2 linked regions of the Schizosaccharomyces pombe genome follow. Changing the gene in region 2 together with the main gene of any one other region gives a genetic interaction. Each region holds a gene or a part of one and is shown on either strand. Other genes may lie near its edges.

Region 1 (7,894 bases), on a different chromosome or scaffold from region 2:
CAGTCTCCAAACCAATTTCCTCGGCGGTGACTTTCATATTTCCTTCTTTTCGCGATTTAATATCTGTGGACGCGTCATCGTTCGATGGAACTTCAGGATTTTGATTTTCCTCTTGAACAATTCTTTCGACCGCCTCCTTCTCTCTTTCAGCGCCCAATCGTTCAAATTCCGCCATTTCTACCTCAATTTTCTCCATTTTCTTATTTAAAATTGAAGTTTCATCTTCATTCATTATTTTAAGTCAATTCAAAGCAGAAATATTCAATTCCGCTTGAATTCCAATATCCGTCTACTGTATTGTTAAGGCCGGGTACATTGCTCGCGTATGGCAATGAATACATAGTGCATGCTTTAGCTTGCGGACCGTAAAATGTAAAATAACATTACGCGTTCTAACGCATTGATAAGATTACTTAGCAGGTTGCAATGCGGAAATCTTAAGATAATAGAAATCTAGAATATTACCATTGTTTCTAGTAGTATTAACAATTAAAATAGGAAAATAAATTAATTAAATAATATTCAAAGATGAAACGACCGATTAGATTAATAGAAACGTGGCTTGTAGTTAGATCGCCGGATTATTTATTTATATGAGTTCCAAAAAAAAAAACAGAAAAAGAGTATTTATAGAATCATTATATCGGGTAGTATATGTACATATTTGAGCACAATTCAACAATATTAGCACATTATAAAAAAGTAAGGCTGGTAAATTGGGATTTGGATGGAAAACCCTGAAGCGTCGTTGCATCAGCTGAGATGGATAAAGTAGACGAGACGACGCCAATAGGAGACATTCATATTAAAAAGTGTGTTGTAGTATCCGGCTTTGATACAATCCGTTCAGGTTGAGTGTCCCTGCGCCGCTTCATGGGGATGTCCACGCTTTCAATGACTCCATTGTGTGTTATGTAGTCCATAAATCATTTTAGGACGATCGTAGTTTAAAAGCAAACAACGAGTCAAAGTGGATTGATGCTCTTAATCGTTTTATAAATAAAAACCCAATTAATAGAAAAAAAAAGAGTCTTAATTATTTGATGAAACCTTCATGATATACTCATAAAATGTGAACTACTCAAGAATCATAAGCACGTGGGGATAAATATTCAATGGTAGCCGAAGGAAATAAAAAGTGCCGAGGTACTTTAACTAGCACCTCTGGACCGAAGCCTGTGCCCCCATTTTTCCCTAACAGGAGAGTGATCTTCAAAATCATAAATGTTATTTTCATTTTTCATGATTCGACGTTTTTTGATGCCGACATTTTCAGCTTTTGTTAAGTTGACCTCTTTATTATTATTCCTCCCATTCGAAATTCCACTCTTAGAGCTTGCAAAGTGCTGATCTATATATTCTAAATCATTTTTTCTTCGATACGCTTTCATTTCTTCATGTTGTATGTTATATTTTAAAGGTACCTTTGTAGTATCTGGTTTCTCATTTTCCATAGAGAGTCGTTTGTAAGAAAACGTATGAAGCAGGCTATATTCGGCTGCCTTTTTTTCTTTCTCACCAACAGAAAATTCTAGGGAATTTTGAGGAACGACTTTTTGAATCTGTTGTTTGAGATTTGATGAAGAGGGGGACAACAAGTCGTCAAGTTGAAAACTGTCGTCATTGCTTGAGGGCGAAAGTATCAAGTTTGAAAATTCTGGTAAAGAGTCTACCCTAGTGTCTACCCTAGTGTCTAACGCCGTGGATGGAGTCATGTCGGTTTGCGATATATCAACCTCTCTTTCATTCACTGCATTCAGCGGTTGAAGTTCGAGTTCATGTATTGAAGCTTCAGCATCAGAATTCGCCGTTTCCAATAAATTAAAGTCGTTATAGCAAATAGAATCACTTGGTCTAAAACCTTGATCGCCCCAAGTAGTAAATAATGTGGTGTCCGTATTTTCGCAATTGGCTTCACCTCCAAAGTTAAACGTTTCTTTACTCAACGCAATATTCTCAAAATTGGAGTGATTCAAAAAGAAGCTTGGTGTCCAATTGATAGCAAATGAAAACAACGCCTGAAAGATCAACTGTTCGAGAACGAATGACTTGATTTTAGGACGAACGACAATGTCCTCACGAAACGTAGTTGCATGTAAACTTGACAGAAAATTACACCTAGTATTTTCTCGCTTCTTGAAAGCCTTAATTATCGAGCGCCAGCTGGGTGCCTTTTTAGTACTCTTAATCCTCTTTTTTACTAACTGAAAAGAGCAATTATTCTTTCCTGTTTGTATTTGAGATTCTTGACATTTCTTAATGATATTATGATTAGTTGAAATCACAACGCCAATGAAATTAGACTGATGCTGATAAGAGTTATTTGCAGGTTTAGGCCCCGAATCTATAAGCTTCGTTTGTAGGTGTGAAAAACAATTGCAAGATGGGTGTTTAGCGCTACGTCTATGATGGTAAGTAATCCAGGCGCCAAACTTTTGTACAAAGTCAACACAAATCTCATCCAAATCCGGAGGTACCATCGTATATGCTGAGTTATAGCCATTATTTTTTGATATTTTTACGGGTTCATTATAAATGTCTATAATTATATCGCAATCTCGTAAAATCTGCGCACGAATATAAAGATAATTAAGCAATTCTTCAAATCCATCCAATTCTTGTTCTGTAAACGCATTGATATCAAACAATCTACCAGTTTCATATTCAGCAATTATATCATCAATTCCATCACGACTCGAATTATCTGGGAACGCAAGGTAAAAATGTATAGCTGTGTACCACATTATGCTCTCGAAATATGGATACTGATACTCTTTTTCAATTCCCAATTGTAGCTCAAGATTGTAGATTGACAACTGGGGATAGATATGAAGGAACGTTAAGAAATTACCAGCAATAGAAATTGTATCACAAGGTGTCACAACGGCATAAATCCATCCTGAAGGAACCAAAATTGTTTGCTGCGAATGAACTTCGACGCAGTAGCATACATCAACCATATTGGGTAGAAACTTTTTGTCGCTGTCATTTGAAGATGTTAGCCAGGCTGTATAAGCTTCCCAATTCTTAGATGTTCCTGGAATAAGGTAAAATATCTTACATCCGTCTAGAATATTGTAGTAAGCTGAGGATCCACCAAATTCAATATGGAATTCAGTATACGAGTTTTCCGCTGACATTAAGCAGTAAGTATCAACATGGGGATACTCACCCAACGCAAAGGAACCAGGAGGCCAGACAGTATTAACCAAATCGAGATCACGAACGATGTTAGGCTTCCGGACGTAATAGGCAAGTTTTGTTGTAGAAACCTCTAAGCTCAAGACGTCGTATATTCGACCACGTTTGCTGGGCTCGAGGCTCATGTACTTTACCCAACTTTCCATGTCCATTTTATTTGGAATTTGTTTTTGTGTCACAACATCCACAAGGGCGAGCGGACAATCATAACCAATTAAAGTAGCGATTTTACTCAGATTTAGTTGCCGCGTATTTTGTGTATCAGACGAAGGAAATATTGTGGGTTCATTAAATCCAGTATCCCTAAAATAACTAAAATTTACACTTTCGGCAGGCATACGACGAAAGCCGTCTTGTGGAAAAGACATGCCAAGTAATCTTTGATGGTTTTTATGAAGATTGGGATGTCTTTTTCGACGACGATTACGACTAAGGCATCGTGATCTTGTTTTGTCTACAGATTGTCTCTCACTGAAGTGAGGCTGTGCAAAGGAAGGTGCATCAAGCAAATATGTATCCTGAAATTCTGTATCTACCGAGACAGGTGAAGTATCAAAAGGATTGACGTATTGAGGGTTTATGCAGGATAAATGTGATTTTGTCGCAATAGGAGTTGACTGGTTTCCGCACCATGAAATTTCCTCTTTCGAAGAAATAAACGAGTCTATTGAGTTTAAAGAGTTTTCTAAAAGGGAAGAGTGTACACCAACGCAGAGAGTGCCTGAACCACTCAGGTCATTGCTAGGAATATCAATGTCTTGATTTATAATGTCATCGTATTCAAGCCAGGAATCCATCTTAAAAGTCCCAAAAATTAATTGCTTACTAGCAAAAAGGTAACTATAAAATTGCGATGCAAACTAAGGAGATTCTATGGCTGTGTTCTTTGAAAAAAAAAATGAGTTTAAAACTGCTAGTGACTAGTAATATAGCATTACATATAATAACAGAAATGATAAGTATCCAAAAAAAAGCAGGCAAACTCGTTAGATTTGAGTCTAACTTTTTCTTCAAAATGCCAATAAAACCGAACTCTCAGTCAACAATAATGATGATCCTCTAATTCAACCTGAAGCTTTGTTCAAGAAACGAAATAATATCAATTATAAATAAGCAGTAATCCATAGACTTCAAAACGTCCACTCCATAAGCTTGCGTGTCTCTTTTATACGATTTAGCACAAGCGCACTTCTATTGTGCAGCTTTGGAAAGATGAGCCAATTCTAAAGCTTCCGTAGAGTTGAGTTACAAACTACCCAGAATTTTTGAATAGTAATTAAATGTTGGTACTACGCACGCGATATTACAATTACAGACGCTAGGTCTAAGTGTTAGGAAAATGTTACTTTTTGTTACTTAAACCGAGTATTTACACACTTGCTAGGTATATAGTTGCGTCTTTCTAAACATTTCTTCAAAAGCATACTTGATGAGTCAAGAAGAAGAAATTAAAGAAAGTTCTCCTGAAAAGGACCTTAAACAAGAGGATTCTGAGGAAGCTATGGAGGTTGCATGAAAATTAGTAGGCGCGCATATTTCTGCAGCTGGGGGCGTTTTTAACGCTCTAATCAATATGAAAAATATCAAGTAAGTATATTCTTAAAGCAATCAGCTTGAATATGTTGAGAAAGTGTACGTTAGGCTTGGCGTAATCGTGCATTATTGCGACTTGCAAACTGATTCACTAGTAGTTATTAGCAAATTGTTAGAGGATTTGCTGATGGTACGTCTATTTGTCGTTTTCAAAAACCATAGCTTATGCTATAAACTTTTCTCACATAATTTTGAAGGAGGTGACTGATGTGTGCAATAAACAAAGCTTATCTGCTAACGAAATTTTATATCAGTGCCAATAGTTGTGCTTTTTTTGTAAAATCACAAAGAAAATGGACCTCTCCGGATTTATCGGAGGATGTTGCTCAAAAATTCTTGGAGACAGCATCCGAAATGAAATTCGATGCGAGCAAACAGGTTCTTGTCCATGGAAGCTATCTGATTAACATGGCCAATGCCGATGAGCAGAAAAGAGAACAGGCATTCAATTGCTTTGTCGACGACCTGAAGCGCTGTGAAAGACTTGGTGTTGGTTTGTACAATTTTCAGTATGTCATTCATAGTGTGCTCTATTTACTTATATTTTACCCAAAACGTACTAACTCTTTTGATCTTTGTAGTCCTGGTAGTACTGCTTCGTGTACAAAGGAAGAAGGAATCAACAACTTAGCAGAATGCATCAATCGTGCGCACGAAGAGACCAAAAGCGTTATTATAGTTACAGAGAACATGGCTGGTCAGGGAAATTGTCTGGGAGGGACCTTTGATGACTTTGCAGCTTTAAAGTCAAAGATTAAGAACTTAGACCGTTGGAGGGTTTGCTTGGACACCTGTCATACATTTGCTGCAGGCTACGATATTCGCACCGAAGAGAGCTACAAAAAAGTTATTGACGAGTTTGACGAAAAGGTTGGAGCCAAATACGTGTCTGGATGGCACTTAAATGATTCCAAGGCTCCTCTTGGTAGCAATCGTGATTTGCATGAAAACATTGGTTTAGGATTTTTAGGATTAGAGCCTTTTCGACTAATAATGAATGATTCACGGTGGGATGGGATCCCATTAGTTTTGGAGACTCCTGCCAAATCTCCAGAGCAATGGAAGAAAGAGGTTGAACTTTTACGATTTATGGTAGGTAAATCATCAGATGATGTCGAATTAATGAAAGAATCAGCGCGTTTGTCCAATTTAGGAGCAGCATCCCGGAAGGAGCATTTGAATAAATTTGAAAAAAAAGAAGCAAAGAAGGATAGAAAGAAAAAAAGCAAGGATGGCGATCAAACTACTTTGTTACTCAGAAAAAAGCAAAAGCTTGGAAATGCAGAAGTTAAGAGCTTGGATGAATAAATTCATGTAACATGCAATTTAATGAAAGATAAATCAAGGGTACGATTTAAAAATCCTAAAATTTGATTCATGAATTGCATTCCCAGCATTTTATTATTGCCTTTATCCACTATATTATGTTTTGGCACAAATGACGTTCTCAGTTTCTTCATTTTTACACTGCCTATTTTGCAGTATTTATCATTTGATTCAGGAATTATTATCGAAAGCAACTTCGGCTCAATTGACTACTTTAAAGGCATCTTTTTGTTTCAATTATATCCATATTCTTCGAACACTGGAATACGGAATTTTTAATCATATAACGATACATTACTTATAATTTTATCATTTTACCATTTCCCATGAGCAACGCTGTTCAGTGCTGGACTGCTCTAACTTTCGTCCTTGCCCTACCCTAAAGTGCTAACACAACATGTGACTGTTCTTTTTGGGAGTCACTAAATTTCTCATTTTATGTTAGAAGAATCTCTACACCACCCAAAAACTCCAAGCATAAAAAGATGTCTACAGTCAAGGTCAACGGAGCTAAGAACGGCGGAGAACGTATGGTGTTGCCTGCCGGCGAGGCCGCCGCTAAATACTATCCTGCCTACCGTGAAAACGTCCCCAAGAAGGCTCGTAAGGCTGTACGCCCTACCAAGCTCCGTGCTTCTTTAGCACCCGGAACTGTTTGCATTTTGTTGGCTGGACGCTTCCGTGGTAAGCGTGTTGTTGTCCTCAGTCAATTGGAGGACACTCTTGTCGTTACTGGCCCTTACAAGGTCAACGGTGTCCCTATCCGTCGTGTCAACCACCGTTATGTGATTGCTACCTCTGCCCCCAAGATCGATGTCTCCGGTGTCTCTGTTGAGAAGTTCACCAAGGCTTACTTTGCCAAGCAAAAGCGTAGCGGACCCGTCAAGAAGGATGAAGCTTTCTTCGCCGAGAACGCTCCCAAGAACGCTCTTCCCGCTGAGCGTATTGCTGACCAAAAGGCCGTTGATGCTAAGCTTCTCCCTGCTATCAAGGCTATCCCTAATATGAAGGAATACCTCGCTGCTTCCTTCGCTTTGTCTAACGGTGACCGTCCTCACTTGATGAAGTTTTAGATTCATAACCTTAGGTAAATAGGTAAATCTATCTTTGTGTTGGCACTTGCGGGACTTCTTATTTATTGAAACTTTGGCATTTCCGGCCCTTGTAAGATTCCATCGAGTTGGTTATGCATGCGCTAAGTAGAAGAGCAGTGCACTGCACATATGTATCTAAAATTTTTATAAAATTGGCAAGTAGTTACTGAACATATTTTTTTGATTGTTAAAGCATATTGACTTCAGAGTGTAGTATAATGTATGCATTTGATATCATTTCGCTGAAGCAGATCTGATTCTTGTATATGTAATTTGGTGTATAATAACTATATAACTGTGGTTTGTTGGTTGCCCAGTATATATATGAAATGTAGTTAGCTATATGTTTAGCGATTTAGCTTTGTTATCGCTTTTCGTTACATTTGGAAATGTTGTAGACGCCGTTATTTCATTCACAACTTGTATCCAATTCAAGTTCAAGTCTGTGCTAAATTTTCTTGTATGCACATAACTTTCTTTTAGTGCATTAATACTATCCCAAAATAAATATTTGTGATCATCAATTTTCAATAGAAAAGCAATTTCCGTTTTGAGCGGCCATATAAAAGGCAAATTTCTCAAATGGTCGTTAGCAGAGCGATAGCAACTTATTATGAGTGAATTATCAACCTATAAAGGTAAGAGAAATTAGGACTCATTGCTCTGAGCTAACGAAAGCA
Region 2 (8,532 bases):
TCTCGATATTCCTTTTCCAATTTTTACATGGATGGAAAGACCAGCTTTTTAACTTAAAAAAATATTTAAAAAAAATAATTAATCCATAGAGAATAATGTATTATTATGGAACTTTTATATTCTCACACTTTTTCTCCTACAAACTTATGTCGTTATAATGAAACAAATTGCTATAGTTTTCTTGGAAGAAGTGTAAATATTAAAAGGAAATTTCCAATTCAAAGATGTGGAAAGCATTAAAAAACATCCTTCCATTCTATTGAAAATTTTAAACAATTTGAAAATACCTCGAGTTTGGATTTGCTTTTTTGAAACTAGCGTTCGTCAAAAATAATAAGTAAATAAATAAAAATTTAAAATCTCGTAAAATTCTTACCAATTAAAACCTACTTAGTTTTTAAGCAAAACAAATGAGCAGAATAGTTAAACAACATTTAATTTTTATAAAAAAAGGAACTAATGGTGACAATCATGTATAAAGTCAATGAAAAATATGGCTCATCTGTTGTTGTTAAACAGATTTCAACTCAAATGAAAATTTTAGGATGGTAGTCGCAATTAGAAATTAAAGACAAACACTTAATTGTAAAATCTCTCAATACTATATAGTTCATTCAATCGCAGACAGCTCGATTCCAGAAGAATGTATATGTTTTGATACGAATGAGCGAATACAAGATTTAATGGCCGTTGAAGATTTTATTAATAAGAATGAATTAGTAGAAATTTTTTAACATTTAAAAAGTAAATTCTATGTATTTTCCCTTTTCTATTGATGTCCATCGTTTGTTTGTATATTAGGTAGTCGATTTGTTTGTTTACATTCTCGCCAACAATTGGTATTCAAATAACCAGCTTGGCGCAGACTTTTCCTCTACCACAAATATTTACAGCATAAAAAAAATCCAAAATTGAGAGCCTAACTGTTGTTTTCGACTTCTTATCATGTCTTATGAGGGCCGTGAAGAACGACCTGAGCAGATTGCTGAACCTACTTTCGAAAATGTGTCGGAACACAATGAACATGATTCGGGATCTGCTGAGGCCCAGGTGGAGACACTGGAGGTGCCATTGAGCAACGAAACCGACAATGATGATGCCACTGAAAACGCTGTTCCTGCAGAAGTACAAGCACCTGAGGAACCCAAGGAGCCTGAAACAGTCGACAATATCGATCCTGCAGATGATGATCCAAACAGCGTGGCAGCTCCCAAGGTTGAAGAAAAAAAATCCAAGAAGAAAGCCAAGGATGAAAAACCATTGACCTACACCACTGGTGGGTATTTATACTGTCGATCCAACGGACTTATTCCGTAAGTCAAAACAGCATCCATTTATTAAAAATCAAACAATCGATTGAGTAATCTTACTAACCACATGTAGTCATGTCATGAAAAGGTATTTTTATATGCTAGAAGGCCCTATGTCTATGGATTTATTAGACCATTATTATAAAAAACACTTCCATGGTACTTTGCAAGGTAACCCAACGGAACCTTCCTTAGCTTCTGAGCAAATGCACGACTCTGATGCTGATTCCCTCTTCCAGTCTGCTAATGATCACCTTAACCGTATCGCTAAAGCTACTCAAGACTGCCGTGGTTTACTCTTTTACTCCAAATCTCAATCAACTAGTGTCCCAAGCGGAATCATTAATTTGGTAAGAATTCCTAATTCCCCTGATTTTTAGTTTTAACCGTGCTAACTGTATTTTCAGACTGATGCAGTATCCATAGAACCCGGTACTGGAAACAAATTCACCATCAATTTTAACAATGGTAAATCAGAAACACTTGAAGCCCTAGACCCAGAAAGTAAAAATACATGGATTACTGATCTCAAAAATGCCATTGCTAAGAAAAAGGAAACCAAAGATAAAATTAAAGAGCTTCGTGCTTACAATGACACGCTTAAAAGACTCGGCAAGTTAGCAGCTCGTTCAGGTCCTTCAGCAAGTGAAACATTTCGTTATTTCCTTCCAATGCTTTCTAACGGACGGGACGCGAAAAAGTCATCTAGTAAATCTCATGGCGGAAAACAAAACAATTCTGTTGCCAAAGACGGTCTTTTTGACTTTTTTCAAAACATGATTAAGGGGAAAACTCCGCAAAACGATACGGCTAGTCCCATTGATAATGAAACGTCAGCTGACCCGGTTGATACTACTGTTGAAGCACAATCAGTCGAAGTTCCTGAGAATGAAACTAACCAAATTCCCACCACTGAAGAACATTTTCCTGCTACTACGGAAGAAGTGGCTCCCGCATCAGAAGAAAAACCAGCCACAGGTCCGGCAGAAGAATCAACATCAACTCAAAATGTTGAGCAAGCTTCTACTCAAAATGATAACGGAACCCCCATCGGTCAAATAGCAGACGCCATTGAAGAAGATGTTAAAGGTACAGCCCAATCAGTTGAACAAGCTTTCATAGAAGAGACTGATATTGCACTTCCTGATATAGCACTTCCCGATGTTGCGACCCCTACTGCAGACGATCAAGACCCTTCCACTGCAGCTACTAATGAAGAGAGTGTTGTCAGCAATGAAGATAGAACGTCTAAGAAAGCCGGAAAAAAGCATCATCGGCATCATAAGAAGAAAAAAGGAGGCAACAAGAGAGTATTCGGCTTTAAGCTTCACAAGTATGCTAAACCTACCAAAAGTGTTAAAACTTTACAGGCAGATCCTTCCCTTGAATTTGCTAAGGCAGGATTTGAGATATTTCCTTCCAACCTTTCAAAGAAGCTCTCAGGTTTGGTGCAAAAAAAAGTGCATAAGAAGTTTGATAAAGACGGGAGACTAAAAGAAATTTCCCAGTTCTCAAAAACCACAATAAAACCGGAAACTCCCTTAACTCCTACAACAACTCCAACGCCTCGAACAGCTGCACAAGAAGACCCAGCTGAAGAAACAACTGATGCCCTCGCCTCAGCAGAAGGAGAAAACAATCAGATGCCCCAGGTGCTCGAAACAGAAGCAGCTCCTTCTATAGCTTCTGAAGGACGGTCCATTACCGTTAACGCTTAAACGCCCTTTTTACTTCACATGTGCGCAGCAGATGAAAAGAGTTTTTCCATTAACGCTAGGCTTTACAACAATTACTATAATGCTTTCAACAAGTGTAAAAAATATAAGCACCGATATGTTTTACCGATAATTGTTCGGCAAATCCCACAGGTCAGATAATATACATAATCTCGTTGCTTAGAAAATGAATGACCTTTTTCAGTTTAACAGTAATGGAGAAAAACAAATTGTAATTATTGGAGTCAACCAGTAATAAATTAGCTTAACCGAAAAGCCAGCCACGACAATTAGCGGAACCACATTTGCACTGCCGGCGAAGTTTTGAAATTCTATTTTGCTGAGATTTTTGAGATTGAACAGGTGAGAAATCTTTTGCACCAGCGTAATCAAATGTAAGCTCCTCTAGAGGCTGAATGTCTTTGATGGCAAAAAAAGCGAGATCATAAATGGTTCGAAATCCATGGTTCCGAACAGCAGAATAAATAGCTATATTAGGTGAACAGGAGTGGTTAAAAAAACGAGAGACATCTCCATAGTTCTGAGCATCCACTGTATACTCGCTAGCATCATCAAACATGTCTAAATCAAATAAATAGGTAATACCGTCGTCGTCATAATTTTTGTCACGCTTGGCGGCCTCTGCTGAAGTTATGACTTCTCCTAAATAGCAAGTGATAAACGTGCCAGCAGGGGCAAATCGAAGCGAACGTACACCCCATCCTTTTTCTTTTGTTTTAAATATTTCAAGCGGAAGAGTTCTACCACGTTGAACAACGCGATTAGGACACTCCATTGAACAAGAACAAAAAGAGTTGCATTCATATATAACGGCACCCGTATCTGCACGGACCCGCCCCTGTGCATCATAGGCAAAATGAGTTGGCTCATCCAAATCATCTAAACACTCACAACGAGAAGGATTGTTAAGGTCACAACCGCCAAGGGACGAGCAATTGCATCCAGATTGAAAATTTGGATCAGGCGGGATAACACCTTGTGTTAAGCGGTACTGGCTAATGAATTGAAAATCTAAAGATGGACAGGGTTCATCGTCAACTTCATTGACAAGCGTTACTTCGGGTCCTTCAATTTCCCGCAGTTTCTTACGAAATAGCTCTCTCTTTTCGTAAAAACTTAGATGGGTATAAGAGTCAAGTTTGGAAGGGTTTCGCGGTTTTGTGAGAATTGAAGATGTTTTGGGGGATGTAGCTTCTTTAATAGAATTGGAAACTAGTTCTCTTTTTTGAGATTCCTCCTTCACTTCATTTCTCGTCTTCCCCAGCTTCTTTGAATTTGTATGAAGACTATCGTCTAAAATGATACTAGTATCATTCGTCGTCAGAGCGGTGGATTGTTTTCGAGATTGTCTCTTGGTAGTTTGAGAAGAAAAAACCTTTTTATTTTCCTTTTTTACATTCAATTCCCGCGAAAATCTTTGAGAACGAGGCACTGACTTTGAAGTTTGATGTTGGTGCTTTTGTCTACTGTTTGGATGTGGATTGCTCGCATGGTGCGGTGAATCCGAGTCGGAGTTACTTCCCTTTAGTCTCCTCTTCCGCCTTTTCCATTCTGCTAAAACGGCAGAACATCCAGAAAGGTTCTCAGGGGGCTCCCAAGTATCACTTCTAGATGAATAGTTCAACCATCGAATGCGATATAGTTTGACAGCTCCATTACGATCCAATTTTTCGTCCACAATCCTTTCAACTTCATACTCCTCTTGTTTAGGCGACATTCGCAAAACTAATAACCTCTTGTTTGGTGAGATGATTTTTAGCAAACCCTCCAAATGATGCCTGAACGAATTTAAAAAATAAAATAAGGAGAGGGTTTATGTTAATATGACAATTGCTAAAGGACTAAAATAATAGACGACCGCGAACTCAGAATATAAAACTGAATGTTTTTTAGTAATGAGCAATAAATATATAAAGTCGATGTGTTCAATTTCAGAGCAAAATTGAAGCTCTGAAATTTGAAAAAGGTATCAAGTACAAAGTAATTTTAAAGTTATAATATACAAATCAACTTTCAAACAACAATCCAAACTAGCAATGCCAATTCATGTTATAACAGTTTGTATTTCGACCAGGTTGTTGAATCGCACTCCTTTACAGAAGTCAAAATTTAAAGAAACGGAGAATCGCCCCGTAAAGGAAATACGGTGTTAACAACACACTGCTCTAATGAAGAACACGTAACGTATCACTATATGTCATATGTTAGGATATTACTTTAGAGCAGTTTATTGATAAATGCGCAAAACCATTTTCATATTTACATAGACGCTGGCTAATGAAGACTAAAAAGATTATAAATTGAGCTGCAACTGAACTGAGGAATGAACTTCAGTTATAAGCTATATTAGTTATAGGTCACAATGCAATCTAGATAATTTAATACCTATACTCAATTGCTACTTGTAATACCTGTGTATTGTAATACGTTAACAAGGAAAAATTACCGCAGTTCTATGTTATCGTTAAAGCAGATACCAAACTGCGTAGCTGACTTTGTATCAGTGTGCAGCACGGAGTCTAACCCATCTGTGTCTAAATAAGAAAGTTGAGCGTTTTTAAAAAACAATAGTATGTTCAATTGCTCTATAATAATAAAAGAAATGAAACAACAGTAAGATTGTCCATAGAAAAACTTTTTACACAATTAGTCGCATCGCCATTTTTATAATGATTAAAAACTATTATATTTGACTATCGGGTTTTGATTTCGGTACAAAGAATGCCTATAAACAAGCTTCTCGCAAAATTAATAAAGTAAGGAACCAAATACCTTTGCATTCGAGCATTCATTTTTTAATAATGGTTAAACTTGAGCTCATTAGATAAACAAGGTCAATTAAAAAAGATTGAGTCTCCAGCCAACTTTCAGAACGCGATAACCCATAACCCATTCTAGAAGCACATGTTGGTATTTGGTTTTTTCGCTTGTTAATTTTGAATGACAATGGAGAAGTCATGTACTCCATTTCTGGATAAATTTTCTGCAGGCTCTAAAGGTTGATTAACAGTAGCCAATCCAAAATGTTGCTAATTTGGTTCAATTTTGAATTGCAAATCGGTGGTGCCAACATGCCTTAAAAAGTTCCATTTAAATTTAAACTTTGAAAAAATGAATAAAGAAAACAAAAAACCATACATGCTTTGACCCATATCTCTAGTGCTTCTTAATACTCTATGTGAAAGCTCCCTTGATAATTGTCGATCTCAATTAGATGGTGCGATAAATTCACCAGACTACAAACTCAAAATTTGATTGCAGAATACCTACTGTACATTAGATATATTTTTTGAACGAAGCCTTTAATCCTATCCCTTCATACCATAAACAAAAAAACAAAGCCCAATATAACATGCCAGGGATTCAATATTACCAATGATGCCTCTAGTGAATGAGAATGAAATTTCAGATCCATATACTGTGCACAAAAGATTCAACAAATACACTTTGAATGTAACTAATATTGTAGCCACCATACCGGGTTGCGAAATTTTCAATGTGGAATAGGCCATACCGAAGACAAAATCTCTGTATATATTTACGATTTTTCAATTGTATTTCTTGCTTTTAATCTTGCTTTATTATTTATTATTTGAAGTGTGAAAGGACAAGATGTAAATATATTAACAATTGCATATTCGCCTCTTATAGAATTATGACGGAAATTACCTACTTGCCGAACGAATGTGAAAATAAATAAAAGTTCTTTAGCATCTTTGGAAAAAAGAGATTAATTTCGTTTAGTTAAAGCATTACCATATAAACGGCTTTGTACGATGTGCATGAGCAAAGTCCATAGATATCAAACAAATGAGAGTTAACCCGTTCAAAATAAATAGTATCTTTTCAACAAGATTCCTTCTCCAAGTTATTAGAAGAAAAATCTTGACATGTATTTGATAGTCTTTCAATTGAAAAAAAAAATATATATATATACGCAGAAAACAGGGGTTTTCGTTATTATTTACATGCGAATTAGTTTTTATTTTTAACTGATATCGTATTTTATAAATAACACATGTATTTTTATATAATTTTATAAGATTTCCGCCAACATACGCTATATACTTTCTTTTGTTTATAACGGAGCGAACGAGTAGTTCTACGACCAAATCGGTTTTGACAGTGCGTGTAAAATTACACAGCTGCTTTTCCAAGAATTTATGAGAGAATTTCTCGTCTAAGATACAATTCGGAGAAATCGAGGACTGGAAAACCAGTCGCAGTTTCCCGTTTTTTTAGGATCAGAAAACAAAAGAAGTATCAGGTCTTGTTCCCAATGAAGAGAAATTGATAAAATATAAATTGAATTACAAATAATTGTTTAATTAGGATTGAGAAGCAGCACCGTTTATATGCATATTTGAGCCAATTCAAGCCTTTTAAATTAAGGATGTTGGCTTCAATTTCACTAAGCGATTTTGGCGCATTCCAGCGTTCGTATCCTAAACTAGCCCATGAGGTCATGGATACGATGTATAGGTTGTAATGAAATACATAGCTTTTCCATTTACCAACTCCATCGTGGAGGGACGGATTTGGGAAATTGGAAGAATCTACTTTTGAAGAATATATAATTACAAAATTTTGGACAACTACCATTACTTTGTAGGCCAATTGTCACGTTGACTTGTTTTGTGAGACGTAAACAACATTCGGAAATAAGGCGCGCGCGTAAGGTTGGTTGAACACAATGAAAAGAAAATCTTCACATTATAATGATGCGCATGCATCTCATATAAATGAAGATATCGAGGAATCTTACAAGGATTTGTACAACAATTTAAGCCCAAGCTCGACTATTTTGCTGCTTTTGTATGCGCGATGGTTCCCTGCAACACTGATACATTTCTTGGACAAATACTACACTTCTACGCCCATATTGATTGATATGATTCACAAGCAATGCATTTATAACCCTCCGAAAGGCTCGCTACATGTACAACTTGAATATTACCTCGCTTTCCTGAATAGAATGGCTCTCATCTTTGACAGATTTCCTGATCTGTTTCCCACTGAAATTTCCAAAGTTAAATTTTTTACAAAGGATTTCTCCAAGAAGGATAAATTAACTGCTTTGGATACCTATAGGTCGTTCCCGGGTTCTACTTGGAAAACGATCGTGACTTTTGCTACACAAGAAGTTTTCTATCTGCCGGAAGGACTGGAGCCTTTAAAAAGAGATTTTTCTTCTATGGATAAGCTTAAATTGATTGGAAAAATCACATATAAACTTAGGTTGAAGGGGGATACAGCCCTGAAATTTGCCTATCTTCACGCTCCCTCTGACGTAAGAGACAAGGTTTTCGACGATGCGTTTTGGCAAGAGATTATAACTCCCAAAGCCTCCTTGGAACAGCAATCAAATAATATTCCTACGGGAATCCAGGATTCGAGCAAGTATACTGTTAACGGACCTACGGAAAGAGACAACAAGTCTATGAAATCGTTTGTACGATCGTTCTTTACGTCGACGGATTCATCTG

Evidence for each region.
Region 1: of clr4 (region 2) and epe1, changing one suppresses a phenotype caused by changing the other (phenotypic suppression), as found in Schizosaccharomyces pombe (7 studies listed by BioGRID, with this or other methods).

What each region holds. Positions count from the first base shown.
Region 1 is NC_003421.2:1,430,548-1,438,441, forward strand, and holds epe1 (Jmjc domain-containing protein Epe1), read right to left. Parts: upstream 4,495-7,894; 5' UTR 3,999-4,494; coding exon 1,152-3,998; 3' UTR 501-1,151; downstream 1-500. Other genes in the region: SPOM_SPCC622.15C (uncharacterized protein), read right to left, coding at 1-232; apn1 (AP endonuclease, minor transcript), read left to right, coding at 4,631-4,634, 4,725-4,788, 5,049-5,303, 5,376-6,102; rpl6 (60S ribosomal protein eL6), read left to right, coding at 6,606-7,193; histone demethylase Jmj4, read left to right, coding at 7,828-7,852. UniProt on the Schizosaccharomyces pombe protein: May be a histone demethylase that specifically demethylates 'Lys-36' of histone H3, thereby playing a central role in histone code. Represses transcriptional silencing by negatively affecting heterochromatin stability.
Region 2 is NC_003423.3:453,285-461,816, forward strand, and holds clr4 (histone lysine H3-K9 methyltransferase (Suv39) Clr4), read right to left. Parts: upstream 5,127-8,532; 5' UTR 4,764-5,126; coding exon 3,291-4,763; 3' UTR 3,029-3,290; coding exon of another isoform or gene 1,718-3,028; 3' UTR 1,661-1,717; coding exon of another isoform or gene 1,384-1,660; 3' UTR 1,314-1,383; coding exon of another isoform or gene 946-1,313; 3' UTR 712-945; downstream 1-711. Other genes in the region: pleckstrin homology domain protein Meu6, read left to right, coding at 946-1,313, 1,384-1,660, 1,718-3,028; SPOM_SPBC428.10 (uncharacterized protein), read left to right, coding at 7,740-8,532. UniProt on the Schizosaccharomyces pombe protein: Histone methyltransferase which contributes to the establishment of heterochromatin by specifically methylating histone H3 to form H3K9me. Part of the Clr4 methyltransferase complex (ClrC).